7 linked regions of the Rattus norvegicus genome follow. The protein of the gene in region 6 purifies or fractionates together with the protein of the main gene of each other region. This does not show direct contact. Links are inferred from orthologs where the notes say so. Each region holds a gene or a part of one and is shown on either strand. Other genes may lie near its edges. The genes, in order: Serbp1, Nufip2, Ybx3, Larp1, Cnot9, Rc3h1 and Cnot1.

What was found.
Region 1: the proteins of Rc3h1 (region 6) and Serbp1 purify together in Homo sapiens (affinity purification with mass spectrometry, with the first as the bait; 3 studies listed by BioGRID). This does not show direct contact. The link is inferred for Rattus norvegicus from reciprocal best matches to the Homo sapiens genes RC3H1 and SERBP1.
Region 2: the proteins of Rc3h1 (region 6) and Nufip2 purify together in Homo sapiens (affinity purification with mass spectrometry; 3 studies listed by BioGRID, with this or other methods). This does not show direct contact. The link is inferred for Rattus norvegicus from reciprocal best matches to the Homo sapiens genes RC3H1 and NUFIP2.
Region 3: the proteins of Rc3h1 (region 6) and Ybx3 purify together in Homo sapiens (affinity purification with mass spectrometry, with the first as the bait; 3 studies listed by BioGRID). This does not show direct contact. The link is inferred for Rattus norvegicus from reciprocal best matches to the Homo sapiens genes RC3H1 and YBX3.
Region 4: the proteins of Rc3h1 (region 6) and Larp1 purify together in Homo sapiens (affinity purification with mass spectrometry, with the first as the bait; 3 studies listed by BioGRID). This does not show direct contact. The link is inferred for Rattus norvegicus from reciprocal best matches to the Homo sapiens genes RC3H1 and LARP1.
Region 5: the proteins of Rc3h1 (region 6) and Cnot9 purify together in Homo sapiens (affinity purification with mass spectrometry, with the first as the bait; 4 studies listed by BioGRID). This does not show direct contact. The link is inferred for Rattus norvegicus from reciprocal best matches to the Homo sapiens genes RC3H1 and CNOT9.
Region 7: the proteins of Rc3h1 (region 6) and Cnot1 purify together in Homo sapiens (affinity purification with mass spectrometry; 5 studies listed by BioGRID, with this or other methods). This does not show direct contact. The link is inferred for Rattus norvegicus from reciprocal best matches to the Homo sapiens genes RC3H1 and CNOT1.

Annotation. Positions count from the first base shown.
Region 1 is NC_086022.1:97,733,953-97,737,974, forward strand, and holds part of Serbp1 (SERPINE1 mRNA-binding protein 1), read left to right. Parts: intron 1-1,246; coding exon 1,247-1,397; intron 1,398-1,920; coding exon 1,921-2,061; intron 2,062-2,172; coding exon 2,173-2,262; intron 2,263-3,062; coding exon of another isoform or gene 3,063-3,107; coding exon 3,108-3,182; intron 3,183-4,022. UniProt on the Homo sapiens protein: Ribosome-binding protein that promotes ribosome hibernation, a process during which ribosomes are stabilized in an inactive state and preserved from proteasomal degradation.
Region 2 is NC_086028.1:63,079,480-63,083,501, forward strand, and holds part of Nufip2 (nuclear FMR1 interacting protein 2), read left to right. Parts: coding exon 1-967; intron 968-4,022. UniProt on the Homo sapiens protein: Binds RNA.
Region 3 is NC_086022.1:166,881,238-166,885,841, reverse strand, and holds the start of Ybx3 (Y-box-binding protein 3), read left to right. Parts: upstream 1-1,350; 5' UTR 1,351-1,533; coding exon 1,534-1,771; intron 1,772-4,604. UniProt on the Homo sapiens protein: Binds to the GM-CSF promoter. Seems to act as a repressor. Also binds to full-length mRNA and to short RNA sequences containing the consensus site 5'-UCCAUCA-3'. May have a role in translation repression.
Region 4 is NC_086028.1:42,722,539-42,726,560, forward strand, and holds part of Larp1 (la-related protein 1), read left to right. Parts: intron 1-2,121; coding exon 2,122-2,183; intron 2,184-2,402; coding exon 2,403-2,468; intron 2,469-3,270; coding exon 3,271-3,445; intron 3,446-4,022. UniProt on the Homo sapiens protein: RNA-binding protein that regulates the translation of specific target mRNA species downstream of the mTORC1 complex, in function of growth signals and nutrient availability.
Region 5 is NC_086027.1:83,531,669-83,536,269, reverse strand, and holds the start of Cnot9 (CCR4-NOT transcription complex subunit 9), read right to left. Parts: upstream 2,902-4,601; 5' UTR 2,485-2,901; coding exon 2,461-2,484; intron 1-2,460. UniProt on the Homo sapiens protein: Component of the CCR4-NOT complex which is one of the major cellular mRNA deadenylases and is linked to various cellular processes including bulk mRNA degradation, miRNA-mediated repression, translational repression during translational initiation and general transcription regulation.
Region 6 is NC_086031.1:75,762,530-75,766,551, forward strand, and holds part of Rc3h1 (roquin-1), read left to right. Parts: intron 1-881; coding exon 882-1,034; intron 1,035-3,405; coding exon 3,406-3,619; intron 3,620-4,022. UniProt on the Homo sapiens protein: Post-transcriptional repressor of mRNAs containing a conserved stem loop motif, called constitutive decay element (CDE), which is often located in the 3'-UTR, as in HMGXB3, ICOS, IER3, NFKBID, NFKBIZ, PPP1R10, TNF, TNFRSF4 and in many more mRNAs.
Region 7 is NC_086037.1:9,350,255-9,353,198, forward strand, and holds the end of Cnot1 (CCR4-NOT transcription complex subunit 1), read left to right. Parts: intron 1-869; coding exon 870-1,002; intron 1,003-1,741; coding exon 1,742-1,876; intron 1,877-2,026; coding exon 2,027-2,105; 3' UTR 2,106-2,382; downstream 2,383-2,944.

The sequences.
Region 1 (4,022 bases), on a different chromosome or scaffold from region 6:
AGGGCTACATTTAAGGCTTGCCTTGAGAATTTACAGAGGCTGAATTTTAAATGTTAACGAATTTCATCTTAACTGGACGACTATAATTAAGATATCTGAATATATCTTGAGGGTGTTCCATTTTCTTAGAATTAGTCACATTATTTAAGATTTTACAAAAACAGTTTCTCAGCTGATATTGTTTTTTGGACTGTCAACACCTATTAGAGCATATCTGAAGTGTTAGGCATGTGTTTAACTATCAACTTGTCCTTAAGACTACCAATAATTCAATTTATTTCAGTTGTTTTTTTTGTGAGTTTCCTATGTTGTCAGAAAAAAATTAAGGCAGAAAAATTAGTTAATGCTTTAAATATCAGTTAGTGCCATAAGTTTTCTATTTTCTTGTTTTGAGAGTGGGTTCTGTGGCTCAGGGCTGTGCATGTTACTGACACCCAGGTAATGAGCCACAGTTGCAGCCTCCTTAGAATGTAATTGCTAAAAGATCTTCCTGTGTCTGATTTGTGAAGATGCTTTGAAAATAGATATTTGTAAGAGCAGACTTAGAAAAAGACCAGCTATACTAATAATGAAGTTTCCTACTGATTACACAGTAGTATTAAAAAATTGGGAATGTGTATAGAGATATGTGTACATATACTTGGACTTTGAATGTTTTGGGTCTGAGAAAGGTGGGTTTTTTTTTTTAACTCCCACTGATTAAATAGCTCTGCTTATTTGGGATGGAGATGGGACATGGTTTCTCTGTAATCCAGATTGGCCTTGAGTTTTTAAACCTGCCTAGTGTTGATGTTGTAGTATAGCTGTCTTAAATTGTTTCTAGAACTCATAAGTGCCTTTTGTTTTCCTTTCAGAATTACAATTTTATAGAATCAAGAATTCTCTATTGGGTGAATTTCATTCTTCAGTGCAGCAAATTTAGTGAATATCCAGTGCTTGGTTATTTATGAATGGCTACTGGTATTAGCTTTGTATTAAAAGTTAAAAATATATCCCTTGATTGAACTATCTGTAAGTTTGACATTTTGTAGTAAGAAACTTTGACTTGGAAACTAAAGGAGTGATGGTACCTAGTGATTTGTGTCAGTTACAGAATGCTTGTAAATGAAGTTTGAGAGGTTTACTGTTGAATAAGAATATTCTAGTTTGTTAAATATACATAGATGATACAGATCAGCTCTACTAGTCTAGCCTCAACGTTTTGTATTATAAAGATGATTTGCTTATGTTGGTTATTTGTCATAAGGAATAAGGCGAGTTGGAAGAAGACCTGATCAACAACTTCAGGGTGATGGGAAAATAATTGATAGGAGACCAGAAAGGCGACCACCTCGTGAAAGAAGATTTGAAAAGCCACTTGAAGAAAAAGGTGAAGGAGGTGAATTTTCAGTTGATAGGTAAGCATTAAATAAGGTTTTCTTGCTTTATCACCCTATAGTTAGATCTTAATGTAAAGCTATGAGTTGGGCATACTGCTAGAGTAGTTGGAGTGATTACTTTGTGTATTTCAGAGAAATTAAATATGTGGTATATTTACATTTTCGACAACATATTTTAAGTTAGATTTCTTAATAGTATATTTTAATTAAGTCCGTATCGAGTTTTTCCTTCCTCTGTGCAGACCTTGAGTTTGAGGCGAGCTCCGTGTCACTGTAGTTTTGTGTATATAGGTCGGTAAGTAGCAGCGTGACCTGCAGTGAGTCAGTAAGTGAGTGTGTTCCAGCAGCAGTGCTTTAAACAGTAGCAAAGCAGCTTTTAATCCTCCCATATGTGAGTAGAAATTAACTTGGAATTTTCTATACCATATATTTACTTGTTCGGTTATGAGCCAGTGAGCATATTCTATATTTTCAAGCTTGGAGTGGATTTTTCCAGTTTCTGGAAACACTAGAGATAACAATTTTTTAATTTGCTTTGCAGACCGATCATCGAACGGCCTATCCGAGGCCGAGGTGGTCTTGGAAGGGGTCGAGGTGGCCGTGGCCGTGGAATGGGCCGAGGTGATGGATTTGATTCTCGTGGCAAGCGTGAATTTGATAGGCATAGTGGAAGTGATAGATCGTAAGTCTTATATTGATTGTTGTATGTATGAGATTTAAATGTGCATATTTAATAAAAACAAAATTTGAATTTCTAGAACTAAAGAGTATAATGTTAACTCAGTTTTGTTAGTTCTTTTTCACATTACAGTGGCCTGAAGCATGAGGACAAACGTGGAGGTAGCGGATCTCACAACTGGGGAACTGTCAAAGATGAATTAACGTTGGTATTCTGATTTTTCTTTTAAGATAAATAAAACAATTTCAATGAAACCAAAAGTGCTAGATTATCAGTAACTTAGATTTTGTTCCTGAAGCAAGAATGAATGTTTTGTCTTAAAGCTATATATAACCTTACGGTGCCTTTTTTTTTAAAAATATTTATTCATTTATTATATATAAGTACATTGTAGCTGTCTTCAGATACACCAGAAGAGGCATCAGATCCCATTATAGGTGGTTGTGAGCCACCATGTGGTTGCTGGGAATTGAACTCAGGACCTCTGGAAGAGAAGTCAGTGCTCTTAACCACTGAGCCATTTCTCCTGCCCCACCTTACAGTGTCTTATAGGATATGTTTATATTAGATGAGCAATTTTTTTATACTTAGGTATATTAATAGTTTTATTTTGATAAAGGATGTGTGTACAGTCCTGAAAGCCCCGTGATGAGGATGCTGGGAATATAGTTCTAACTGTAGCTGTTGTAGTCTTGTTCTTACAAAATTTGATAAGGCTTCTTCCTCTCTTGGTTTATTTTGGATTTTTTTTGAGATGGGTTTTCTGTAGTTGAGACTAGCCTTGAACTTGCTATGTAATTACAGCCTTCTACTGCTGTGTCTGACTTAGAAAGCCTTGTTTTAAAAGTGTGTAAGGTAATTTAATAATTTGTTTTCTCTTGGAGGTCTACTGGAGAGTAAAATTAGTAGAAAATATATAAAAATGTAAAAGTTTTTACTTTGGTATGAAAGAATTTTGGCTACATGTAAATGGACCTAGATGCCTTTCTTCTTTCTTTCCTTAGAGAGTCACCCAAATACATTCAGAAACAAATATCTTATAATTGCAGTGATTTGGAGCAATCAAATGTGACTGAGGAAACACCCGAAGGTGAAGAGCACCCAGTGGCAGACACTGAAAATAAGTAAGTGGTTTTGTGTCAGGAAGTAATAATCCAGCGTGGAAATAAGTCTGATAATTGTGCTGTTCCATATATTAAGGACTATATGTATTGTAAGTAAAGCCTTTTAGAGCTAATCATAAAGGGAAAGGAACAAAGCTTGCTGATAGGATCTGGTGATAACTGTTCTTACTCTGAATAGGTAGGATTATTAACTGAACCAAGTTTTGGTGTAAGAGGTATTTGTAGTGTTTAGTTAGTCATAGTTCAAAGTAATCTCAACATTTAGTTATATATACTAAAACTAGACAACTTGAAAAGACTTGGTAAATTAGGTCCAATTTAAGTTTTTTTATTAATATGAATTTTGAGCAGCAAATTATTTGAAACTAAAAAGCAACGAGAATGTTTTAGCTCATTAGCATTCTTAAAATTTCATGTGTCTGAGTGTTGGCCTGCATGTGTGTTAAGTACACTGCATTCATGCAGCATCTATGAGGCCAGTAGAGGGTGTTGTGCTCCCTGGATAGTCTAGTGCTACAGTAAACAACGGGATATTAGGTGTATTTTTGGCACACTGATTTTATGCTGTGGAACTCAATCTACTGTGTTATGACTTGAGCATTGTGGTCTTGAAATCAGAGTAGCTGCCGCTAAACATTGGTTCTAGTGAAGCTTGCCAGGTGGTCTAAGGACGACCCCTATCTTCTCTGAATATGTGTAAGCCATTAATGATTGCTACTGTAAATAAACCCTTACCCATACTCCTATAAATAACTAGTGAAACTCATTGGCCCACCAGGCAACTAGAATAATTTCTTTTTGTATGTGCTTAATCTGGGGTAATAAATACATGTTGATTCA
Region 2 (4,022 bases), on a different chromosome or scaffold from region 6:
TTTCCAGTGGACAATAGCAGTGCAAAAATAGTTCCTAAAATAAGTTATGCAAGCAAAGTTAAGGAAAACCTCAACAAAACTGTACAGAACTCCTCTGTGTCACCAACTTCATCTTCATCATCATCATCTACTGGGGAAACTCAGACCCAATCCTCAAGTCGGTTATCCCAGGTCCCCATGTCAGCTCTGAAATCTGTTACTTCTGCCAGTTTTTCTAATGGGCCTGTTTTAGCAGGAACTGATGGAAGTATGTATCCATCTGCGGGTCAGCCACTGCTAACTACTGCTGCTAATACTTTAACACCCATCTCTACTGGGACTGATTCAGTTCTTCAGGACATGAGTCTGAGTTCAGCAGCTGTTGAACAAATTAAGTCTAGCCTTTTTATCTACCCTTCAAATATGCAAACAGTGCTGTTAAGTGCACAAGTAGATCTGCCCTCTCAGACAGATCAGCAAAACCTGGGAGATATATTCCAGAATCAGTGGGGTTTATCGTTTATAAATGAACCCAGTGCTGGCCCAGAGACTGTTATTGGAAAGTCATCAGATCATAAAGTGATGGAAGTGACATTTCAAGGAGAATATCCTGCCACTTTGGTTTCACAGGGTGCTGAAATAATTCCCTCAGGAACTGAGCATCCTGTGTTTCCCAAGGCTTATGAGCTGGAAAAACGGACTAGTCCTCAAGTTCTGGGTAACATTCTAAAACCTGGGACTACTGAGAGTGGAGCCTTATCCTTGGAACCCAGTCATATAGGTGACCTGCAAAAAGCAGACACCAGTAGTCAAGGTGCTTTAGTGTTTCTCTCAAAGGACTACGAAATAGAAAATCAAAATCCTCTGGCCTCTCCTACGAACACTTTGTTAGGCTCCGCCAAAGAACAGAGATACCAGAGAGGCCTAGAAAGGAATGATAGCTGGGGTTCTTTTGACCTGAGGGCTGCTATTGTATATCACACTAAAGGTAACTCTTATTTGTTTCTTTTTCAAAGATTCCAATGGGCTGATAAGTCCCTCCCCTCTCTATCCTGTGTGTGGGGGTGGGTGTGGGGGTGTGTGTGGGTGTGTGCGTGGGTGTGTGCGTGGGTGTGTGCGTATATTTGATACTCTATATTGGGAATACCTGGGTAAGAATTAGTATCATCAGTTAATTTGAGATTTTTGGAAATCATATTAAAGTTTAGAGGAATGTAATTTTCCAACATAAAATGATCAAGAAAAGCATAATTGGTCACATAATTAGAGGGGCTTCATGTTGCTTTAAAGATAATATTAATATTATTTTATATAGGGTCTCACAGGTTTTTTGTTTTTTTTTTTTTAATTTTTTATATGAGTACACTGTCGCTGTCTTCAGACACACCAGAAAGAGGGCACCGGATCCCATTACAGATGGTTGTGAGCCACCATGTGGTTGCTGGGAATTGAACTCAGGACCTCTGGAGGAGCAGTCAGTGCTCTTAATCACTGAGCCATTCTCTCAAGCCCCACAGCTTTGCTTTTTTTTTTTTTTTGGTTCTTTTTTTCGGAGCTGGGGACCGAACCCAGGGCCTTGCGCTTCCTAGGTAAGCGCTCTACCACTGAGCTAAATCCCCAGCCCCAAACTAGTATATCTGAATTCTTTGGTTCTTTCTTTTTTTTTTTTTTTCTTCTTCGGAGCTGGGGACCGAACCCAGGGCCTTGCGCTTCCTAGGCAAGCGCTCTACCACTGAGCTAAATCCCCAACCCCACTTTTTTTTTTTTTTTTTAAGTGATAGAGTCCAAGGTTTTATAAGCCAAATGGGCTTGAAATTCTGATCCTCTACAGGTGCTGCTGGGATTGCCTGTGTATGCCACCAACTTTGGCCACCCTCTCTTGTTTCTTAAAGTGTATACTCTATTAGCAAAGCATTTCATGGTTTTAATTGCTTATAATGAATTGGGCAGTAGTGTTCCTCCAAGTTTTGTTCCTTAACTACTAAGGCTTGAGCCTTGCTCTTTCCTTCTTTCTTTCTTTCTTTCTTTTTTTTTTTTTTTCCGGAGCTGGGGACCGAACCCAGGGCCTTGTGCTTGCTAGGCAAGCACTCTACCGCTGAGCTAAATCCCCAACCCTTGAGCCTTGCTCTTAAATACGTGCCAGGCAGGGAATTAAGAACTTTCCTGACATACCATGCAATGGTGGTGCAATCTATCAGCACTTGGGAGGCAGAGGCAGGATTTCTGAGTTGAGGACAGTATGGTCTACAGAGAAAGTTGTAGGATACCTAGGTTACACAGAGAAAAACCTGTCTTAAAAAAAAAATCACAAACCCATCAACCCCCACCTAAAGTAATCCTAACTCGAACAACAGAATTTTTTGGGACTTGTAGAGATAGCTTTTAGTAGGCAAAGGCACCAGCTTCCAAGCCTTAGACCTGAGTTGAGTTGAGTTCCAATTCCTGGTTCCCAGAGGTGGTCCTCTGACATTCAGTTTGCCATTGCAGATCCCTCACCTGGATAATTAAAGAAAAATGAAAACTTGCTGAATGCATAACTTTGTGGGGGAGGAATTGTGTGTAAACCTGTCTATCCAGGAACTGAGTTTGTAGACCAAGCTGGCCTAGAACTCATACCCACTTGCCTCTGCCTACTGAGTGCTGGGATTGAAGGCCATCCTCCATGACACTAAAAGAAAACAATTTTTATTTGCATCCTTTATGTCATTTCTACTCCTTGGGTATAAACATCTATTGCCTACTGCACATGCTAATTTGTTTTTAGAAACTATGTAGTCTTCCCTATCCTGGAACTACCTATGCTGACTAGGCTGGCCTTGAACTCAAATACATGTCTATCTCTTTCTTAGTGCTAGGATTAAAGGTGTATGCTACTTTTTAATTAAATACTGGTTTATTTTGGAGTGACTTTTCATCTGTAGGAAAGAGAGAGCCCATCAGATTATAGGGATGAAGATTTTTTTTTCTCTAGAATAAACTTGCCTTAGAGAATAACAAAGTTGTTTGTGACTTAAGATTTATTTATTATATATAAGTACACTGTAGCTGTCCTCAGACAGACACATCAGAAGAGAGCATCTGACCTCATTACAGACGGTTGTGAGCCACCATGTGCTTGCTGGGATTTGAACTCAGGACCTCTGAAAGAATAGTCCGTGCTTTTAACCACTGCCATCTTCCCAGCCTGACTTTTTTTTTTATTAAAAACTTATATACACTGTAGCTGTCTTCAGACACACCGGAAGAGGGCATAAGATCTCATTACAGATGGTTGTGAGTCACCACGTGGTTGCTGGGATTTGAACTCAGGACCTGTGGAAGAGCAGTCAGTGTTCTTTTTTTTTTTGGAGCTGGGGACTGAACCCAGGGCCTTGCGCTTGCTAGGCAAGTGCTCTACCACTGAGCTAAATCCCCAACCCCTCAGTCAGTGTTCTTAACCACTGATCCATCTCTCTAGCCCCCGACTTTTTTTTTTTTTTTTTTGGTTCTTTTTTTCGGAGCTGGGGACCGAACCCAGGGCCTTGCGCTTCCTAGGTAAGCGCTCTACCACTGAGCTAAATCCCCAGCCCCCGACTTTCTTTTTTATGTGTTTACATTTTGGCCTGCTTTTCTGTTCCCACCACACCAGTGCCTGTAGTTACAGATGGCTATGAGCCACAATGCAGGTGCTGGGAACCAAACTTGGAAGATCACAAGTATTCTTAACCACTGACATGAACTTTTGGGTGCTAAGGAGATATTGGGTATTCTGGAGGTGAAATTACAGGCAGTTGCAAACTGTTCAATGTTGATTCTGGGAATCTAATTTGGGTTCCACTGCAAGAGTAGAAGGTGCACCTAACTGTTGAGCCATACTAAGGTTAGCCTTTTATAAATTAAAAAAAAAAATGATACTTTCATACACAGTACTGTGACAGTATTTTCACATCACTCTCCTTTGGGGACTCATAATGCTGTGTCCCCAATTCACAACCTCTTTATTATTTTTACTCATATATACTTAGGCACACATGAGAATGTAGCATGCTTAAATCTTTTTTTTT
Region 3 (4,604 bases), on a different chromosome or scaffold from region 6:
GTGATGTGTGTCTTGTATGTCTCGTCCTAGAGACCAGGACTCCTCCTCCTCCTCCTCCTCCTCCTCCTCCTCCTCTTCTTCTTCTTCTTCTTCTTCTTCTTTTTTTTTCTTAAAAACGTTTTTTAAGCTGGGCAGAGCAGCATACAAGTTTAATCGCAGTACTAGTGGAGGAGGACAGAGGAGCGCAGAGAGGTAGGAGGATCTCTAAGAGGTTAGGCTGGCCTGCACAGGGGGTTCAAAGACAGTCAGGACTAACACCGCCACAGGTGGTGGTGCCAAATGCTGTTGCCATGACCCATGTATGGAGGTCAGGACAACTTGAGGGAGTCGATTATCTTCCTCCATCTGGTAGGTCCAGGGATGAAACTCAGGTGGTCAGGCTCCGAGACAAGCCTTTACCTGCTGAGACATCGTGCAGGTCCTACTCTCAGTTGCTCAAGCTTTCCCCCAGTTTAGAGTTAATTATAGCCAATTGTAGCAAAAGGTATAATGTGGATTTATTCCACTCTTTCAACGTAGGTTATTAAATACATATTAACAGCTTATTATTGGTTGCTTCTAACTGGTGTAAATCCTGCATTTGCAGAAATTCTGGAAGGTCTAGATTTTAATTTTCTCACTTGTGGAATCGCTAAATGGGGCCTTTTGATTTTTATAAGAGTTTTTGTTTTGTCTTGTTGGGGGCAGGGGTGAGGGCAGTGTTTCCCTGAGCGCACGCAGCTGTTTGGAGAGAATCTCTTGCAGCCTGCAAATTTCTTTGGCCCATGATGACCTTGAACTGATCCATGCCCTAGACTCAGGGCACTGTGCCTGCTAGGCAAGCACTGGATCCCCTAAGCTACATCTCCAACCCTTTGCTTGTTTCTGTGTTACTACCAGGAAGGAGGAGTAAAGTTGAGGCAGTCTCAGTAGCCCAAGCTAGGCCACTACTCACAGTGACATTCCAGTCTCAGTCTCTAAAGTACTAGTATTACCCCTGCCAGCCAACTTCAGTTCCCAGGTTATTCCAGTTCCTAATCTTAGCACCCAGAATACTTTCTGGTGTTTTCTGGATGCGCAAATGTAAAAGAGGGTTTTTGGTTTTGTTTTAAGGGGCCGCGTGGCTGCCCATTCCACCCCTCAAGAAGCAAACTCAAGTGGAAGATGTCTTGGGGAGGGGATATCTCCTCTGCTCCGCGTCAACCTCTCCACGGTGCCCACAACCCGGGACCCACCAGCTCCGAGAGCCCTAAGGAGTAGCGCAGGCGCCTTTAAATGCTAATGAGCAGCCGGGGCGGCTTTCCCCACCCTCTCTCCCCGCCCCGCGCCCGCCGGCCCGCCCGCCGCCCGCGAGCACTTGCGCGGGGCCATCTTCGGGGCCGGGAGACCCAGCGAGACCGCGAGCGCGCGCGTCCCCCGCCCTCGAGCCGCCGCCCGCCGCCGCGCCGCGCGATCCGCACCGGCCTCCCCGAGAGCGAGCCGGCCGCCGCGACCGCCACCGCGCTAACCGCCGCCAACCGCCACCGAGGTGCCCGGAGAGAGCGGAGAGGCGGCATGAGCGAGGCGGGCGAGGCCACCACCGGCGGCACCACGCTCCCGCAGGCCGCGGCCGACGCGCCCGCCGCGGCGCCCCCGGACCCCGCGCCTAAGAGCCCGGCGGCCAGCGGCGCGCCCCAGGCCCCGGCGCCCGCCGCGCTGCTCGCGGGGAGCCCCGGCGGAGACGCAGCCCCCGGGCCCGCCCCGGCCTCATCAGCCCCCGCGGGAAGCGAGGACGCGGAGAAGAAAGTTCTCGGTGAGTCCCTGGCTGCAGCCCGGGAGAGACGGCGGGCGAGGATGGACGTGGATGCAGGGCGGGCTGGGACACGTGGGCCAGGTCTGGGGAGCCTTTGCTGTGGGTCGGGAAAGCCGCACGTTTCCTCGCGGGGAGGATGGGACTCCGGAGAGGGACAGGAGGGGTGGTTTGGGAAGACTTTATTGTGTGGTGTATTTTTCCCCCCTTGGCCTGGTAGTGTCAGGTGTCTGTCCCCGACGCCCTTCCCTCGTGGGCTTGGGACAGCCGCCATGCTCCTGCGGGCCATATGCCGGCACAGAGATGTTGCAACGCCCGGAGAAACTTGGGGCGGGCACCCTCCTCCCCTTGTGTCCACAGATGCAAAGAGCCTTCCAGTATCCACCAATTGCTGCACATTTTCCTCTCCCGCACCGTGGGAACACACGTACAGGGCTGGGAAAAACTTAGTCGGGAGTAGGACGAGTGTCCAAAACATGGTTACCATACGACTTGTAACTGGAAGGGAAACGGGAAGGTGGGGACTGGAGATATTGGGGGATCGAGGGTTTGCAACGGTGGCTGTTGTATTTTGTCACATATTTGAGTGTCCTCATCTTCCTTAAGGAACGCCCGGTGTGAGGCCTTCCACAGGCTGGCCTAGCAGGTGGGTGGTGGATAAGCTCCCCGGAGGGTGTGTGCGTGCGCATGTGGTTCGCTATCCGAAACAGGAAAGTTAACAGATGGTGTAGGATGCTTCTGAAATGTTCACTGTTTCTGGGTGGGGCCGATTGGGCTCGCCTGCTCTCTGAGCTTCCTCCCCATTTAGCATGAAAGCTGAAGGAGTATTGTGGAAAAAAAATAGAACACCTTCAGTGTTCCCCACCCCCGACAATCCTTTGGTTTTTGTTTTCCTAAGGCTTTAAAAACTCAGTTCCTCCCAATTTTTTTTCCTCACCCACACGAAAAAGTTCCTTAAAGGTCTTGTGGGTGTTGCATTGTGGCACTTTCCACCAGATGCTCCTTGGACAACTTCCACACAAAATGGAAGATAGAACCCTGTGTTGCTAGCAGAAGCAGGTTCTTAATGATACCTTACCCGGGGCAGATGGAATCCTACAGGTTTTTACTTGATCCTTGAATTTCGAGATAAGAAAAGTTGATAATATCTTTGTAGATGGGGGCGTGGGGGTTGTAAACGAAGGTTAATTTCCTCAGTCTCCAGCAGTTTAGTTCTGTTTCTGCCAGATGCCTGGTGTTGAATCTGTTGTCTTTCATCCTGCCACTCAAAAGTCCAGACTCTCAAAATTAAGGGCAAGCCTCCACCTGACACTTTCGGCACTGTTTGTCTTTGTCCTCTGTGGTCTGCCATCTCCTGTGCCAAGCAGACACATGGATACCCAAAATGTTCTGGACTTAGTACTGACTGAAATGGATATCTTGGACGCTCTCACTCTGGTCTTTGCAAAGGGGCCTTTGGTTTATACCATGTGGTCCTTCAGGGAAAACAAGTTTTTCCACGTAAAAAGAACTGAATAGGCTTATTCTACCAACTAACCCCTTGCTGTGTACTTGAATATAGTATTAAAAATGTGAATGGATTTGTTTGGTTATATGAAGCTCATGGAAATATTTGTACAATTTGTATTTTAAAAAAAAATAACTTTGAGAAGTAAAGAAACACCAATGGTGAAAACAGACTTGAGAATCTTTCCCATCTTCCCCCTTCTGCTGTTAGCATTGCATTTCCCTCGCTTTGTGTATCTGTTTTTGGTTTTGCACTTTTATTTTTTTGAGATTGGCCTCATGAAGAAACCTAGGCTGGCCTACACTCACTCACTTTGTAGCAGATGATAACCTTTAACTCCTTGTTATCCTGCCCTCATCTCCCAAGGGGCAGGATTACAGGTGCACCACACTGGGCTTAGTGTTTTTATCAGTTTCTTTCACAACCTCCGTGTGTGTATCGGTATATATCTGTATCTATCCAGAATATTTAAAAGAAACACAAAAATCCTCTCATGTGGAATCTTGTTGTAGAGGCCATACTGTTTATCCATACCTGACTTCTTTATGTTGACATCCGAAATGTGAGTTTTTCTTTTTTCTCATTTGCTCTGCAGCTCACATTAGATTGGCTTTAAGCTAAATGCTGAGCAGTCCATCTAAGAAAGCTAAGAGGCTTGTGCAAGCCCATCTTTGTGCCCCACAGAACCACAGCATCTCCTCACAAGAGGCTGTAGATCTGGCTTGTCCACTCCTGAGCTTCTCCCTTCTAAATGTAGCCTTGCCAGGTTTTCTCTTTCACTGAGTGTTGATGACCGTCTGGTGCATTTCCTTGGTTTAGACCTCTCCATTTCCTGGAGACACTAAATATGACATTCACCATTGATCCCAGCAGTCATATTTGGAATCTACAACATTTAGATTCTTTTTCTTAATGAATTTTCAAGTGAGGCATTGTAGAAAAATTATCCTACCTATGACAGAGGGTGGAGATAGTAGGCCATTGACTGTAGCAAATGCCAGGGTTCCCTTCTCAGCAGCTGAAGACAGCAGGTAAGCCCCTTGGTGTGAACGGGCCCTGTGGTGCCATGCGTCAGTGGTAAATACAGAACTGGGGTGAGCCAACATGAGTTCTGTTACTACTATGGCCTTCTGACCAGCCCTCAGTTGGCCACCAGTTTCTTTATATCTTCTTAGGCTGATTATGAAGAAGGAGCTACTATGTTGCTTTTTAAAGTTTGCCCACTATTTCAAAGTCCAAGAATTGATAAGATGACCCAGCTTCTGTTCTTCCCCCTGCCTCTTCCTTCGAACATGGGAGATTTCTGGGTGAATAACTGGAATGTGTTGT
Region 4 (4,022 bases), on a different chromosome or scaffold from region 6:
GATGGCCACTAGGAAGGATATACATCTGGAATTCCAGCACTTCGTAGGCTGTGGCAGGGGAATTGCTGGAAATTTGAGACTGCTTTTGGGCTACAGAGCAAGACCCTTCTTTTAAAATGCTTGAGAAAATAGCTTTAAAAGGCTTTATTATGTTTGTTTATTTTGTTTGTTTTTTGGGGGGAGCACCAGGGCATGCTTGTGGAAATCCGAGGACAGCTTGTGAGAGTTGATTCTCCATTTCCTGGCGAGGCAAGGTATATTTTACTCAGACCAAGAGACTTGAAAAGACCAGTGTCTGGAAACTTTTGCCCTCTTTTCAGAGATGATTTTCGGTATACCTTACTTCCAGTCCTTGTGCATAGAATTCTTTCTTTCTTTCTTTCTTTTTTTTTCCAGAGCTGGGGACCGAACCCAGGGCCTTGCGGTTGCTAGGCAAGTGCTCTACCACTGAGCCAAATCCCCAGCGTGCATACAATTCTTGTTGTAAACTTTGTCACTAGCTTTGGGGCTTGCTTTCCTGCTAGCATGTACCAATGCTGTTGAGCACATGAAGAAATGACTCCAGTTGTAGCTCAGGTGGGCGGCCACTGTCCAGGCCCTGGGCTGAATTGGATGAAGATCTGTTTAGTTGTTAGATGGTCGGTATATCCCTGGGTGTCCTGGAACTTACTTTGTAGATTAGGCTGTCCTCAGATTTCCAGAGATCCTTTGTCTCTGCCACCTGAGTGCTGGCATTAAAGGCATCTACTACCACACTTGCTCGGCTCGTGTGAGGAGCTTTAGACCAGTCAAGGAACTACTAAATGTTCAATGGCTTATCTGGGTCAACCTGGGGTCAAAGGACAGTGGTTTTCTTGCACCTGAGATTTTCTAGTTTTCTGCTTCTCAGCCCTGGAGGTTGCTGTGGGCTCAACAACTCCAGCTATCAGAAGACTTATGTCCACCATTAGGGGACAGTGGCTCCAGTAACCGGCCAGAAGCCAGGAATGAATTGGCTTCACCCTTAGGAACTGGGCAAGGACACTTTCTTCTCATTAAAGGACATAGTCTGTTGAAAAACCTTGTGAGGCCAGCCAGCCAGGTTTCTGTGCTTGGAGGCTAGGGTAGTTCCTGACCTGACATGGCAGAGGAGGGAAGTACAAGCTAAAGTGAGTGAGCAGAATCTCAGGTTGTGTTTCTTCCCGTGGATCTCTAGAGGCAGGAGGGACAAGACACCCTTGGTTTTCAGGACCAAACTAACCAGAGCCACTTCTTCTAGACTTGCGTACTCTGTTCCTTAAAAGCCATCTTCGTCTTTGTAGAAAAGTTAAATATATGCCCCACAGATGCATGATTACATACACGCTCCTCTGTTCTATAGAAAACAGATGAAGTCATCATCTTCTATGTGTCTATCTCCACATAACCAAAGACCAGTATATTCTAATGGCTATTGTGAAAGTGGATGAATTGAAATTCGGTGATTTTAGTACTGTTGGAGTTGAAATTGTGTATAGCTCTTGTCTCACTTGTATTATTGGGGTTCAATCTAAAAGATGAAACTGGCCAGGTATGGTGGCATGCTTGGGAGGCAAAGGATGTGTCGGGGGGAGATCTCTATGAGTTCAGCAGTCTGATCTGCTGACAAGTTCCAAGCCAGTCAGGGCTACACTGGGAAATGTTGTCTCACAAAATTGAACTTTAGAGTCAAATCGGAGTATGCCTTTTCTTTAGGAACAGAAAAGGTAGTTCTTACTTCAACTACATGTCAGCGAGGACACAGCAGGCCTTGGTATGGCCCTGGACGTGTCCATTCACATGTTTAGCTTTATTTTCTTTGGGCTTGCAGAAGTATACAGAAGACTCAATCTCCTTACAGGTTTTGCCTATAGATTTGGAGCTCTGAGTTACAGTGTAGACTTGGTTATGGACCTTGAGACTCAGTTGATAACTCATAAAAAATACAGACTTAGACTCTAAGGGTTTTCCCACTTCAGTGTTGAGCAGCTTGGTGGCTAGGCTGCCAGTTTATATTGTTGCCCTTTCTGCTGTGGCTCCTTTGGGAACCTGTAGGTGCATGGTGGGATGGGCATGGTAATGACATAGGCTCTGACAGCTGATTCTTTCTCTTTGTTCCCACAGAACCTTCTGCTCCGGCCAAGGTGGTGAGGGCAGCTGCTCCCAAACAGCGTAAGGGCAGCAAGGTAAAGACCGGGGAGTGTCCCTGTGGGCGCTCATTATTCTTGTTCTCATAAGCACTTCGGGCCCTTCTCTAAGAGCATGGAAGCCTTTATGGGTGCCATTGCATGGTGTCTGAGTGCACACACTGTTGTGTCCCTATCTCTAAAAAGAGCTAGAGCTTGGGTGTGGAGCAAAATGGCAGGCAGAGTAACCCCAAGGCCTTCATAGACGATACCTTGCAGGTTGGTGACTTTGGAGATGCAATCAACTGGCCTACACCTGGAGAAATAGCCCACAAAAGTGTGCAGGTGAGTGAGGAGGGGTTGGCAGGTTCAAGTACTCTTCATACTGACTTAGTTGGTTTTTGACCAAGAGCCATAAACACCACCTTTCTTGATTTTTGAAAAGGAGTGGTCGGTGAGCACAATAGTATGTATACTTCTGAAATCCCAGCTACTCAAAAGGATAAAGAAGGATGACTATACTCAGTCCAAGAGTTCAAGGCCATCCTTTGAGACATAGGACTCCCAACCCCCTTCAATTCTCAACAAATGAAGAGTAGTTATTTAAGATGGACAGGAATGAAATAATTAGGAATTACCATCATGTGAGCCTTTGCCTGGTTTCAGGGGTGCCAGGCACTGTTCTTTTTTGCCTTCCAGTGGTGGCTCAGCGGGTTTAGGAAACAACTGTGTTACAGTTTTCCAAAGCCCATATTTTTCCATTACTGAGCCACATTTTTCTATGAGTAATTGAAAAAAGAGGTATCAGTTGAGGCACTGACTCCAGTTTGGGGAGGTATACTTAGCTCCCCTAGATTCTAGCAGAAGAGACTCTTTCTTGGTCAGTTCAGTTCCACTCATCACTTTTGTTCTGAGCTAGTGACTGCCCCAGTGGGTCCCTTATGGTAGAGGTTTTGGTACAGACAGGCCAGCATCTTTTCTATCCCACAGATTTGGGTAGCTAGAACAATCAGTTGTTCTTCCATAGCTGGTATGGTCGTGTTTTGTAGTGGTGTTGTCTGAGTATGAAAGCTAGACCTTAGGATGTATCTAGTGTAGCCTGTCCTTATACTTCCCCAGTGACCACATGTTTCCTTGCCTCTTGTAGCCACAGTCCCACAAGCCTCAGCCTGCCCGTAAGCTGCCACCCAAGAAGGACATGAAGGAGCAGGAGAAAGGAGATGGAAGTGATAGTAAGGAGAGCCCAAAAACAAAGTCGGATGAATCGGGGGAGGAAAAGAATGGGGATGAGGACTGCCAGCGAGGCGGGCAGAAGAAGAAAGGTAAGTGGCTTGGCCAGGACCCGGGAGGTGTACCTTTCAGAACTTTGAAATGACATAAGCCTGACCTGCTGGAGGAACTTCAGGCCAGGGGGTGACTGACTGCTTGGAGCAGCTTTTGCTCAGCCTTAGTGCATCTTCTCTTATACGGGCTTTTATATTGCTCTAAGAGTTTCTTAAACCTGTTGAAATGATACAGGCTTGACTGCTTTCTCTCCGAGACCTATTCTGTGTCTGCAGGCCAGGCTTGAGGTGGCAACTCTTAACTCATTAAGCACAGCAGCCTCTCCATCCAAGGTGGCTCCCTTGTTCCTGCTCACTCCACCTAGAATGGCCCCACAAGGTTGTCACAGGCAGTGATGTGTCACATGTGTGAAGGGAGCCTAGAAAGTTAGTTTTTATTCAGGTTTCCAGAAAGTGATTCTTACATCTGGAACCTCTGATCTCCTTATTTTAGAGATTTATAACAACAAAAAAGAGGTCTGGTGTTTGAAAAGGACATGCCTATGGCTACCAGATGGGTAGTTGAACTAGAATTTAGGGGGAAGGAAAAAGCCATGTCTGAGGGGCCTGCCATGCC
Region 5 (4,601 bases), on a different chromosome or scaffold from region 6:
ACTCCTGGTCCACAGCATTAGAAAGCTTGCAGTGTTCCTTTGTACAAATCTTACTGTGCTGAGATTGCTCAGCGTTTCCTCTAAGAACTGCAAAACCACTACAGAAAAACACAACACAGCTGGCCATCAGTTATCAATCAGGCTGTGCAATGAAGGAAATTCGTATGTGGCTTACATATATTCTTTATTTGTGCTTATATAAACGCACACCTCCCCCTATGAAAACTATAGTCCCCTAATTAAGAACTTGAACAAGGGGGCTAGAGAGATGGCTCAGCGGTTAAGAGCACTGACTGCTCTTCCAGAGGTCCTGAGTTCAATTCCCAGCAACCATATGGTGGCTGACAACCATCTGTAATGGCATCTGACGCTCTCTTCTGCTGTGTCTGAAGACAGAGACAGTGTACACATAAAATAAATAAACCTTTAAAAAAACAGAACTTGAACAGTTAGAAACAGGATATAAAATATCACTTGCTTTGAAAAGAAGAAATAAACATCATAAAGTGGCATGTTAATATTTTTTATGTGTATTAGTCTGTGTGTCTTGTGAGTTTTGGGGATTTAACTCAGGTCCTCAGGCTTGGCAACAGGTCCCTTTACTCACTGAGCCATCTCACTCGTTCCTAAAGCAATGTTTCTGTATAGGTCTCGCTTACATACACTTAGCTGGGTTGCTTACTTTTTTTTCCCCTTTGAGACTGGGTCTAAAATGCTCCATAGACCAAGCTGCCATTGAATGCAGAGATCTGCCTGCCTCTGCTTCCCTGTGTGCTGGGATTAAAAACATGTCATGCCAATCAGATTGTTCACTTTTGGGAGGAGTCTCTGGAGACTGAACCCAGAATGTCACAAATGCTAGATCAAATATTCTGCTATAATTACTATCTCCAACCATCTTTTTTTTTTTTTAAGATTTATTATAAGTACACACTGTAGCTGTCTTCAGATACATGGACATCAGATCCCATTACAGATGGCTGTGTGCCACTATGTGGTTGCTGGGATTTGAACTCAGGTCCTCTGGAAGAGCTGTCAGTGCTCTTAACCGCTGAGTCATCTCTCCAGCCCCTCCAACCATCTTTTAAAAAGATGTTTTCTGAGATTTAAAAAAATTGCCAGGCTGATCTTGAACTTGTGGTCTGTTTGTTTGAGCTATTATTACAGATGTGCTGCCACCACACTCTGGAGAATGTTTATCTTTTCTTTTTGGTCAGGATATCACTATGCTAGCACGCTGGTCTGGAACTCTCCATATAGACCAGGCTGGCCTCAAAATTCACAAATTTACTTGCCTTCTGCCTTCCAAGCACGACTGTCCTAAATATTTCATTTTATACTTGAAGTTAAGGTAGTTTTTCATGTTTTATTTAGTCATTACGTCATGTTGTCTCATAATGTAATCCTAGTAGATTGTTTTCCTGATAGCATTTCCCTTTGGTGAAAGTGAAACTGGCAAGTGTTCTTAAACTATGCTGCTTCCGGTTGTGGGAGTACCTATTCAGGTCAGCAATATTTGAGTGCTTACCTTGTAGTAGGAACTGTCCCAGTGGTGGTGAAAACAAGTAAACACGACTCACCAAATACCTACCCCTGACTTCCAGGAGACAACCCACAAGTAAAAATAAATAAAAAATCCCGTAACTAAAACTGGGATCAGTGCTCTTTATGAGAAAATATTGGGGTTACAAGCTACTATGAAGATGGTCGGATAAAGTCACTCTGAAGTAGACTTGTGTCCATGTATGGAGTCAGAGTCCTAAGAAATACAATCCAGGTAGAGAATATGCAACAGAAAAGTTCATATACATTTTGGTCCGAGCTTAGGGAGCAAGTGACAAAAATCAAGCCCATAAACGTGACTAAGGACCATATCATACAGGAATTGTAGGTCAAGGAGTCTAATTTCTCTAAATTTAACCGAAAGTCATAGTATGACTTTAGGGAAGTGTAATACATGATTCGCTTTTCTTGGAAGGATAAAACGAGAGGTGCGAGGAAGGCTTTAAATGCAGAGAACCTTAAGTCAGATAGTCTTTGGCTTTCCTCATGCAAAGTGGCTTGAGCTAGAAGCCTATTTCTAATCACTGAGATCTGCCTAGGCGAGGAGAAATGGGATCACGGGACCAGAGCGAATGGCCGTGGAATTATCCTCATCTCCACCGACGCCCAGCACACAACCGGCAACCAGAAACTGACGCCGAGCGCAAAAGAATCAATGAATGGCCTGCTGAGGCAGCGCGGGGCGCGGGACCAGGCCTCGGCGCCGGAAAAGAACGCAAGAGGCCGCGCGCCAGGCCAGGAGAGGGGTCTTGAGGGGATAGCGGGGTCCGGCTCCGCCACGGTCTGCGTGTGGAGACTCCCGGACCTTGGGACTAGGGGCAGAAGCAGCTAGACTTGGGGCCCAAATCTGGGAACTAGAAAATGGGCTGAGACGGACATCCGGGCGCAACCACTCACCGCTGCCGTTGCCAGGCTGTGCATGTTGGGAGCGGGGGCCGCTCTACTTCTTCCGCTGGACGCGCCGGACCCGCGTCCCAGCTTTAGTGGCTCTGCAGCCGAAGATGAAGAGCCGCCATCCGTCTCCGGCTCGCTCCTCCCTCTTCGCAGCCCTTTGACCTCTCACCTCCGACCCTCCGCCCACACAGCCCTTTCCCGCCTCCTGGACCTCGGCCTAACAAATAGTCCCAAAGTATGTCCCTTGAACCTTCAGGTTCAGGATCAAAATGACGTCTGCAAACTACTGGTCCTCGTATCCCCCCGGCATCGCAAGTATATCCCCTAAGAAACGTGAACTCTGACTTTCCTCCTAAGGCCAGAGAAGGGCGGGAAAAGGCCAGCAGTCTTGGAAGGACAAAAACTGCGCATGCTCAAGCAGGCTGAGCGAGAGGAAAATGGTGGGAGGTCCAAAGTTGGTAAAGTGGAGAGTACGCATGTGTATTACAGTACAGTCACGACAGGGGCGGGGCCGCCCGGGTTAGGGGCTGGGCTTAGTATGGGGCGGAGCGAATGCTTGAGGGGCGGGACTTGCGCGCTTACGCGCACGCGCCTGGACTGGTTGCGTCGAGAGTGCGTGCGTCCGTACGTGTTTGCGTCTAGTCACAGTTCCCGCCATCAGAGGGTTTAGGTGTGCTAGGGGAGAGACCGGCCTCGCTGTCTGGGACTACGGGAGCTCTTTCCTTCCGAACCTCTTGGCCCCTCCCCCTCCGCGGGAACTTTATGCTTCCGGCATGTTTGTCCGGAGCTGGGACCCTCTGGCACAGGTAAGGCGAGCCAGGACAGCTTCTGAATTGAGCCGTTTTCCTCGGCACCCCCCCCCACCCTGTGCGGTCCGCCCACTCGGCGTCCACTTCAGAGTTCGCCGGGCTGCTTCTCAGCCCGCCCCGGGTCCTTGGACTCTCCCTATGCCTACAGGTGCCCCCATTCGAGTATTTCCTCTTTACTTTCTTTCTCTTTTAACGAAGTCCTTACTGTCACTTGCTTTCTGCATCCTAAACCTGGCTCCTCTTCACCAGGGTTCAGGTGGTCTCAGCTTGCCTCCTTGCAGGGCCTGCTGTCTTTACAGGTGACTTTGTTGCCACATATTCATCAAGACCTTGGATACGGTACTCACTCGCCCTCTTGACCATTCTTTACTTTTCTACTCCCCTTAAACATTACTCGCTAAAAGGGAGTGTAATTTTTGTCGTGCTTTGGTTGCTACCCGTATCTAGCCATGACACTGACGATGTCCAGTTTACCAATTTTAAATCAAGATCTGGCGAAAAATAGAAAAGTAATTGGTAATAAAGTTCCGTGTCGTTGGAAAGTTGTACTGTAGTGTTCAGATTTTCTTTTGGCGAGTTACGGTATCTAATGCGTCTATAGTTGAAAGAGCTAATCTAAGAGGGAATTGTTAAGAGGGCATTTGGATTTATTGGGTTAGGTATTAGAGGAGGATTCTGGACCAGACAGATAGACACTATTGTGCTTGTATGGTACGTTTGTGATTTGTCATGTTAATATGTGGGTGAATATCCAAAAGAATAGTGTTGCATACTGGCAAAAGGTAAAGGAGGGACTGAAAAATCCAAGGACAGATGTAATCAGTTGTCTTGATAAAAAAATTTTGGCACGGTAAAATAATTTAGTTTTGGACTGGGGTTCTCTTCTCTTGCTCTCCAAGCTTTAAATTCTACTATATGTTGATAAATTGAGGATTTTTATTTTCAGCTCCATATTCAAATAGCTGACTGCTTAACATCTCAATCTGATTTTTTTCCCTTAGGAATTTCAAATATGACATTTTAAAAAACTAGAGTCTGGATTTCTCTCTGTACCCAAATTCTCTTTTTTTCCAGTGTCCACTACCACAAGTGACGTGCTCATTTTGATGCCATATATCCATTTGTTTAGTTACACTGGGTAGAAACTTAAGAGGCAGTCTTGATTTCTTCATCCTATGTGTTCATATCCTTTCCAAGTTCTGTTTTACGTCAATATATGTTTTGCATCTATTTCTGGCCATCTTCACTTTTATTTTTCTAGTTCAAACCACGTTCTTTTTCATATGGACTTGATCTCCCTTGCACTTATTCTCACAGGTAAAATAGGAATAAGAG
Region 6 (4,022 bases):
ATTCATACATTACAGGAGTCCATGACATAGAAATAATACTTTCTTCAAATTCCCATTTCCTATACCAACTAACAGTTTTGTTGTATTTCAACATTTTTATGTGTATGAACATGTTTGTTGGAGTAGAGCAGAGTTGTTTATTAGTTTTGTTTTGGGGATATCTATGTTGGTGTTAATTTATTCTTTTTTGTAGCTGCATAATATATAATATTCAGTGGAAGAGCTTACTTGCTAGGTATCAATATATTCTAAAAGTTAGCTGTTCTACATGAGCTAGAACTTTAAAATGTTAAAACACATTGTCCTCAGAATGGAATATTGTTATTGTATAACACAGAACTTTAGTCAAGAAGATAAAAATAAGGCATTTTGTTCTTTTACTTAATTGAATCAGTCTTGGCCCAGAATGTATTCAAGACAGGAAATACTGCTGTCGAAGAAGCACCAGCAAAGAATTGTTGCATTATACCTACCTCATAAAGCACGAGGTACGGAGAGTGCTCTCGTGTACTGGAGGAGTTACTGGAGCCTATTGAGGATAGCCCCGCCAGTGTACATACGGCGTGCTGCATATTTACTCTCGTGCTGACTTGACTTTACCTAAGGCAGTGGAAGAAAGAGTGAACAAACTTCTTAAGATCCTAGCTTGAATTATGAAAGGAGGTTGAAGTTATTTCTTTCTCTCTTTTTTTTTTAGCTGCCAATAACATATGAAGGCTAAAATAATCTTCACATTTTTCAGTCTATAAAAATATGTTCTGACACTTAATAATCAAGTAACTATCACTATATTGCTTTAATTTGATGTTCTAGACATTCCCCACTTTTTCTGTTTTGTTAACTCATAGACCCATTTCCTGTTTTTCCCCCTCTATCTATAGTTTTTGGATGAAGACTTGAAGGTAGCTGGAAAATACAAAGCAAATGATTATAGCCAATATTCTCCTTGGTCATGTGATACCATCGGCTCCTACATTGGAACCAAAGATGCAAAACCCAAAGATGTTGTGGCAGCAGGGAGTGTGGAAATGATGGTATGTGTAATGGCTAAGCATAATTAATAAAACCTAGATACATAAATTCTCATCTATTAAATTATAGGGACAACTAAGAAAGCTTTGCTTTTGTTTCATTTAAGTATAAAGTATATTATTTTCTTGACAAAGAATATTATATATTATTTTAGGTAGTAATTCCCAAGAGTTGTTCAGAACCCAAGTTAAATCACTTTCAGTATGTAATCCAAGGTTTGAGGATTGGAGAGATGGCTCGGTGTTGAAGAGAGCATATTGCTGTTGCAGAGGACCTGAGTTTTGTTCCCAGCTCTCATGTTGGGCAGTTCACAACCACCCGTAACTCTGGCTCCAGATGATCCACTGCTCTTCTGGTCTCCGTGGGCACCTACTCAGTGCATATACCCACATAGATGTACTACAAAGTCACATAATTAAAATAACTTGCCCATCAGTGGTACTTTAATAGACTTTAATACAAGCACCTGGGGCCAGAAGCAGCTGGAGCTTTGTGAGTTCAAGGTCAACCTGGTCTACATAGTGAGTTTTGGACAGCTGGGGATATGTGTGTGTGTTTCCGTATTTATGTATCAGTATTTTACATATTAATTGCCCCCTATAGCAATAAAACTTTGTAAAAGTAGTTAATCTCCCTAATCTTATTTTTGTCCCTCACTCCTCCCTGTCAATAAGTAACCTCTTCCCTGAGTTTAATTTTTATTGCTTAGACACACACACACACACACACACACACACACACACACACACACACACACACTGCACAATGTTGTGTTTTGTTTTGTTTTTTAGCAAAAACCCTACTGGGTTTTCCTGTGTTGTCCAGGATGACCTTGCATAAAGTCTCCCTCTTGTCTCATCCACGGGGTAGGTAGCTGAGGCTCTAGGCAAGTGCCACTGTACTCAGCTGCTACTCTTTCCTTTTGGAGAAAGCACCTCATTAAGTTTTGGGTTGGCTTTGAAATCACTGTGCATAGCACACGCTAATCTCAGGCTTGTGGTAGACTTGCCTTAGCCTGGCTAGTAGCTACAGTTACAGGTCACTGTTACTGATCTTTTAACATTATGTATAATTTTTCACTTCATTTTTTTAAAGACTTTTTTTTAGATTTGCTTATATTTATGTGTATGAGTGTTTTGCTCACATATATGTTAGTGTTTCATGAGCGTCTGTTGTCCAAAGAGCATTAGATTGATGTCCTGGAATTAGAATTAGGGATGGTTATGAGCTACCATGTGGGTGCTGGGATTCAAACCCGGTCCTTTGCAAGAAGAACAAGCTCTTTTAACTGCTGAGTTATCTCTCTAGCCCCTACGTAGAGTATTAAATGGACACTTTCTAGACTTTGTGCATATCCATGAAAGTTATGCTTAGACATGTATTCCTGGCCAAAAGCCAGCTTGAAATATATTTTAAAAAAAAAAAGCTGGATGTAGTGGTGCATACCTTTAGTCTCAGGATGGGAGAGGAGGTGGGGAGGTGGCGGGGTGCAGAGATGGTGGGGGATATAGTGAGGCTCTGTCTCCTAAGGAAGGGAGGGAGGGAGGGAAAGGAAGGAAGAAAAGAAAAGAAAAAAGAAGGAAAGTAAAAAGAAAGACAGACAGTGGTATTACTGGTTTGACAGGGATCACTTGACATCATTTTCCCTGTGAATCCCAAGAAGGTTCCCTGCTGATTTGTGTAGGTTTTCATAGATAATGTTTACCTAGCTTGTTCAAGATAAAACCAGTTCAAGTAGGTGACAGGCCAGTAAGAAAGAATAGTTAAATAAAAAAGCAAACCTGCAAGGGGACTGTGACAGAACAAGGTCCTGGGCTCAGTTCCCAGCATCAAATAAGGTGAAATTAAGTTGAAACAAAACTTGCAATGTCCTTCTTGAGCAAGGATGCCTCTATAACACAGGAAGTCTTTCACTAGACTAAGTTGAAATAGAATAGTAATGTAAGGTGCTTTCAAAAGGGTTGTCACACTGAAGTAACATTAGCAAAGTAAAATTAATTTCCTTAAATTGGAAAAAAATAACAAAATTACATGCCATTAAAAATTTTTCTAGATACGTGAAAGAAGCCTTAACCCAGTGCCTCTCAAGCATTGATATTTGAGCTAGACATAGAGGTCAGTGGTAAAGTGCTTGCCTGACAAGTTAATGTTGGTACATACTACTTAGGAATGGGTTGATCTATCATCTACTATCATCTGTCTGTACTTAAAGTAGGTCATATTCTTACTGTGATCTAAAACCAATGTTTTATATGACATCCAAAGATAACTAAAGAGTTATTCTTACTAATAAGAGCATCATGCTCTTATTAACTCCTTTACAGAGCTAGTGGAAATTATGCTAAACAACATGTCACTTCTGCTTTTTGTCAGAATGTAGAAAGTAAAGGAATGAGAGACCAGAGGTTGGATCTTCAGAGAAGAGCAGTGGAAACTAGTGATGATGACCTTATCCCATTTGGCGACCGACCAACGGTATCTCGATTTGGTGCCATCTCTCGAACATCCAAAACACTGTATCAGGGTGCTGGCCCAATGCAAGCTCTGGCACCTCAGGGAGCACCCACAAAATCTATTAACATTTCTGGTAAGAATCCTAGAGTGGTAATTATGATTCTCAGTGTAATTCTATTACTGCTTTTAAGACTCTTAAAGGCAATGATTTTTAAACTTTTCCCTGTAAGAAAGTAATTGCACCTTGGGCAATTTTGGGAGTATAAACTAAAATGAAGTCTTTATATATTAAGATTGCTTGAGGGGCTAGGGTATAGTTCAGTTGATAGAGTGTATGCCTAATATATATGAAACTCTGGATTCAATACCCCAAACCACATAAACCAGATATCATGTCACATGCCAGTAATCCTAGTACTGGAGAAATAGAAGTAGGAGGATCAGAATGTTCAAGTCCAGCTTTGGGTACATAGTGATTTCAAGGCTATCCTGGGCTAAAGATCCTGTGTTTAAAAAAAGAGAAAGAAAGAAAGAAA
Region 7 (2,944 bases), on a different chromosome or scaffold from region 6:
GTATTGGATAACCACTGTTCTCTTCTTTGGGAAGACAGGACTGATTTTTCTACTCTCAGCATTCCTTGATTGCCTGTAGCTCTCTATGTAGAATTGAATCAAATTTTACATCCTTTAGATAACAGTTTAAGGGTCCTGGTGATAAATGGTAAACAAGAGAGTCACCAGATAGAGCTCTGTTGACACCTGAGCATGCGCAGATTCTGGATTTGATGCCCTCTCCCATTATTCTCCCACAAACCACTCCTTTTCACAGTATGAGGATCTTTAGGGACAAGGCTCTTGAAGTAAGGGCTCTGAGGTCAGGACTGTTTCTGTCAGGAAGACATTGCTTTTGTTTATTTCATGTGTACACAGCAATTTTTCAAGTACAAATGAAATAAAATGCTTTAAGTAGCTAGGTGTCGACAGTGCAGAACTGGCTTTCCGCTGCTGTGACGTGACAGGAAGTCTATAGAATGTAAAACAGTGACCCTCAAGAGTTTTTTTAAAAGAATGTAAGAAGGTTGGGGATTTGGCTCAGTGGTAGAGCTCTTGGGCAAGGCCCTGGGTTCGATCCCCAGCTCCGAAAAAAAGAATAGGGGGAAAAAAAAAAAGAATGTAAGAATTTTGCTGATTCATAGTATGGATTGCAAATAAAATCTACAGAAGCCAAAAAAAAAAAAAAAAAAAAAAAAAGTTGGTATCCAGAAAAGCACTAGTAAATCACAGAATTGGACTAACGTTCAGTTTGTATCCATCCTGGCCCAAGGCCCACCGTGCTAATGGTGTCTGCCTGATGGTATCAGTCTCCTTTAGAAACCAAAGCCTAAACTGACTCATTCTGGCCCGCAAGGGTAAGTCCTAAATCTAGTTTCCTTGACTTCCAGGCCGGTATCTCTTTTTAAACGCAATTGCAAACCAGCTGCGGTACCCAAACAGCCACACGCACTACTTCAGCTGCACCATGCTGTACCTTTTTGCCGAGGCGAACACTGAGGCAATCCAGGAACAGATCACAAGGTGAGAAAGATTTAGTGTATGGTGCCCTACAGGGGCTCTTCCCTCCTGCATTGTTTGTAGCCCTGGCTGTCTTGAAATTACTTTGCTCTGTAGACCAGGCTGGCTCAGACATTGCCTCCCTGTCTGCATTCTGAGTGGAGTCGTGTGCAGTCCCAGTTTTGCTGTCTTATTCTGAATCATGTCTGAGGAATTATAAACAAGCTGATGTTGACAGTAGTTGGCTTTGAAATGCTGGGTCTAGTTTACCATAAAAGCAACATTAGTTTCTTGGTGGTAGCAGTGACAATAACATTTTTTATCCAGAATCTTGTTGACATTTTGTGTACTTCTTTTTTTTCTAAGGTTTTAAGGGGAAACAGTAGGGTCATACTCTGTTTTGTTTAAACCATATAGGATTGGAGATGAGTGCACAATCTAATGGGGTGGGACTTCCTATTCTCCCAACGGAGTGCTCGTGGCCACGGTTCTTCCCTACACTGAGCTGTGCTTCTTGTGTGCTTGGGTGGCAATGTGCCGCTGGTTTGTAATTATGTCTGAAGCTTCAGCAGCAAATCTTTGCCACCAGGAAACAAGTATGAGAACAAAGAATTGATTCTAGCCAGCACTTGTCATGTAGGAAGGATCTCACCGATTCCTGTATGCTAAATTCTAAGTGGGTTCAGGGAAAGGGGCAAAGGAGGCACAGTTGTGAGGCATTTGCTTTTTATGTGTTAACTGACTCTTCTCTACCCCTTTTTAGGGTTCTCTTGGAACGGTTGATTGTAAATAGGCCGCATCCTTGGGGTCTTCTCATCACCTTCATTGAGCTGATTAAAAACCCAGCATTTAAGTTCTGGAACCATGAATTTGTACACTGTGCCCCAGAGATCGAAAAGTGAGTTAAAATGTTAATTACCAAGCAGGGAAACAGAAAAGAATGCTTCTAATTTGGGTCTGAGTTAGAGGGCAGTTGTAGCTGTCACATTGGAATCTCCAGGCCTGAAGCTTGTCGTGCCGTTAACACATGCTTGTCTCCCCTTCTCAGGCTGTTCCAGTCTGTTGCGCAGTGCTGCATGGGACAGAAGCAGGCTCAGCAAGTGATGGAGGGGACCGGTGCCAGTTAGATGAACTGTGTATATCCCTTGCAGAGGCATCAACCTTGGTCCCACTGAACCAAGTTCATAAACTGAAGAATCCTTTCAGCTCCTCCTGACTTTCCTAGCCCTTTGGTTCTCAGGCGTCTGCCCCAACAACTGCTGGGGTTGGTTCTCCTGTCTATGTGGGCAAGTTCCAAAGTTTAAATGCATTTTTTTTTTTGACTCTTGGCCAAAATTTAGAAGATGCTGTGAATATCATTTTGAACTTGTGTAAATATATGAAAGAGAAAACTTTTGTCTGGAACTTCTTGAGTTTGTGCAAAGTGTGTCTTAGATATGTGTGTAAAGGTAGTTGACGGCATGCTCTGGTCTTGGGGCACAGCAGCTTGTCTTCCCACTTCTGTGACATTCCAAAGAATAGCAAAACATTGAATTCATGCAGCTTTCTAAGTGTAGACTAGATAGGCTCTTTGATAGCCTGGGAACACAGGAAGACTCACAGTTGAGACCCAGGGAGCTCTGCTTGCCTTTGGAAAGGGTCCTAAGGGAGAGCATACCCGGAGAGGAAATCACCTCTGGTCTGGGGTTCTGCATCACCATGCCTAGGCTGGCGGTACAGCCTGGTAAATAACAGGTCATGTTGTCATGGATGACTGCTACGGCTGCTGCCTTTTGTAAGGATCAGGATTGAAAATGCTCCATGAACAGCTAGGCCCCTGTTAACATTTTGTAGCCTTTGTAGCTTCTGGGCCTTAATCAGCTTTCTTGTAAAGTCATGACATGCATAGGAGTCCACTGTGCCTTTCTCAGTAGCAGCAGCAGCCAGTGCTGGCGACAGAAGTGGACAGCCCAGTCAATAGGAAAGT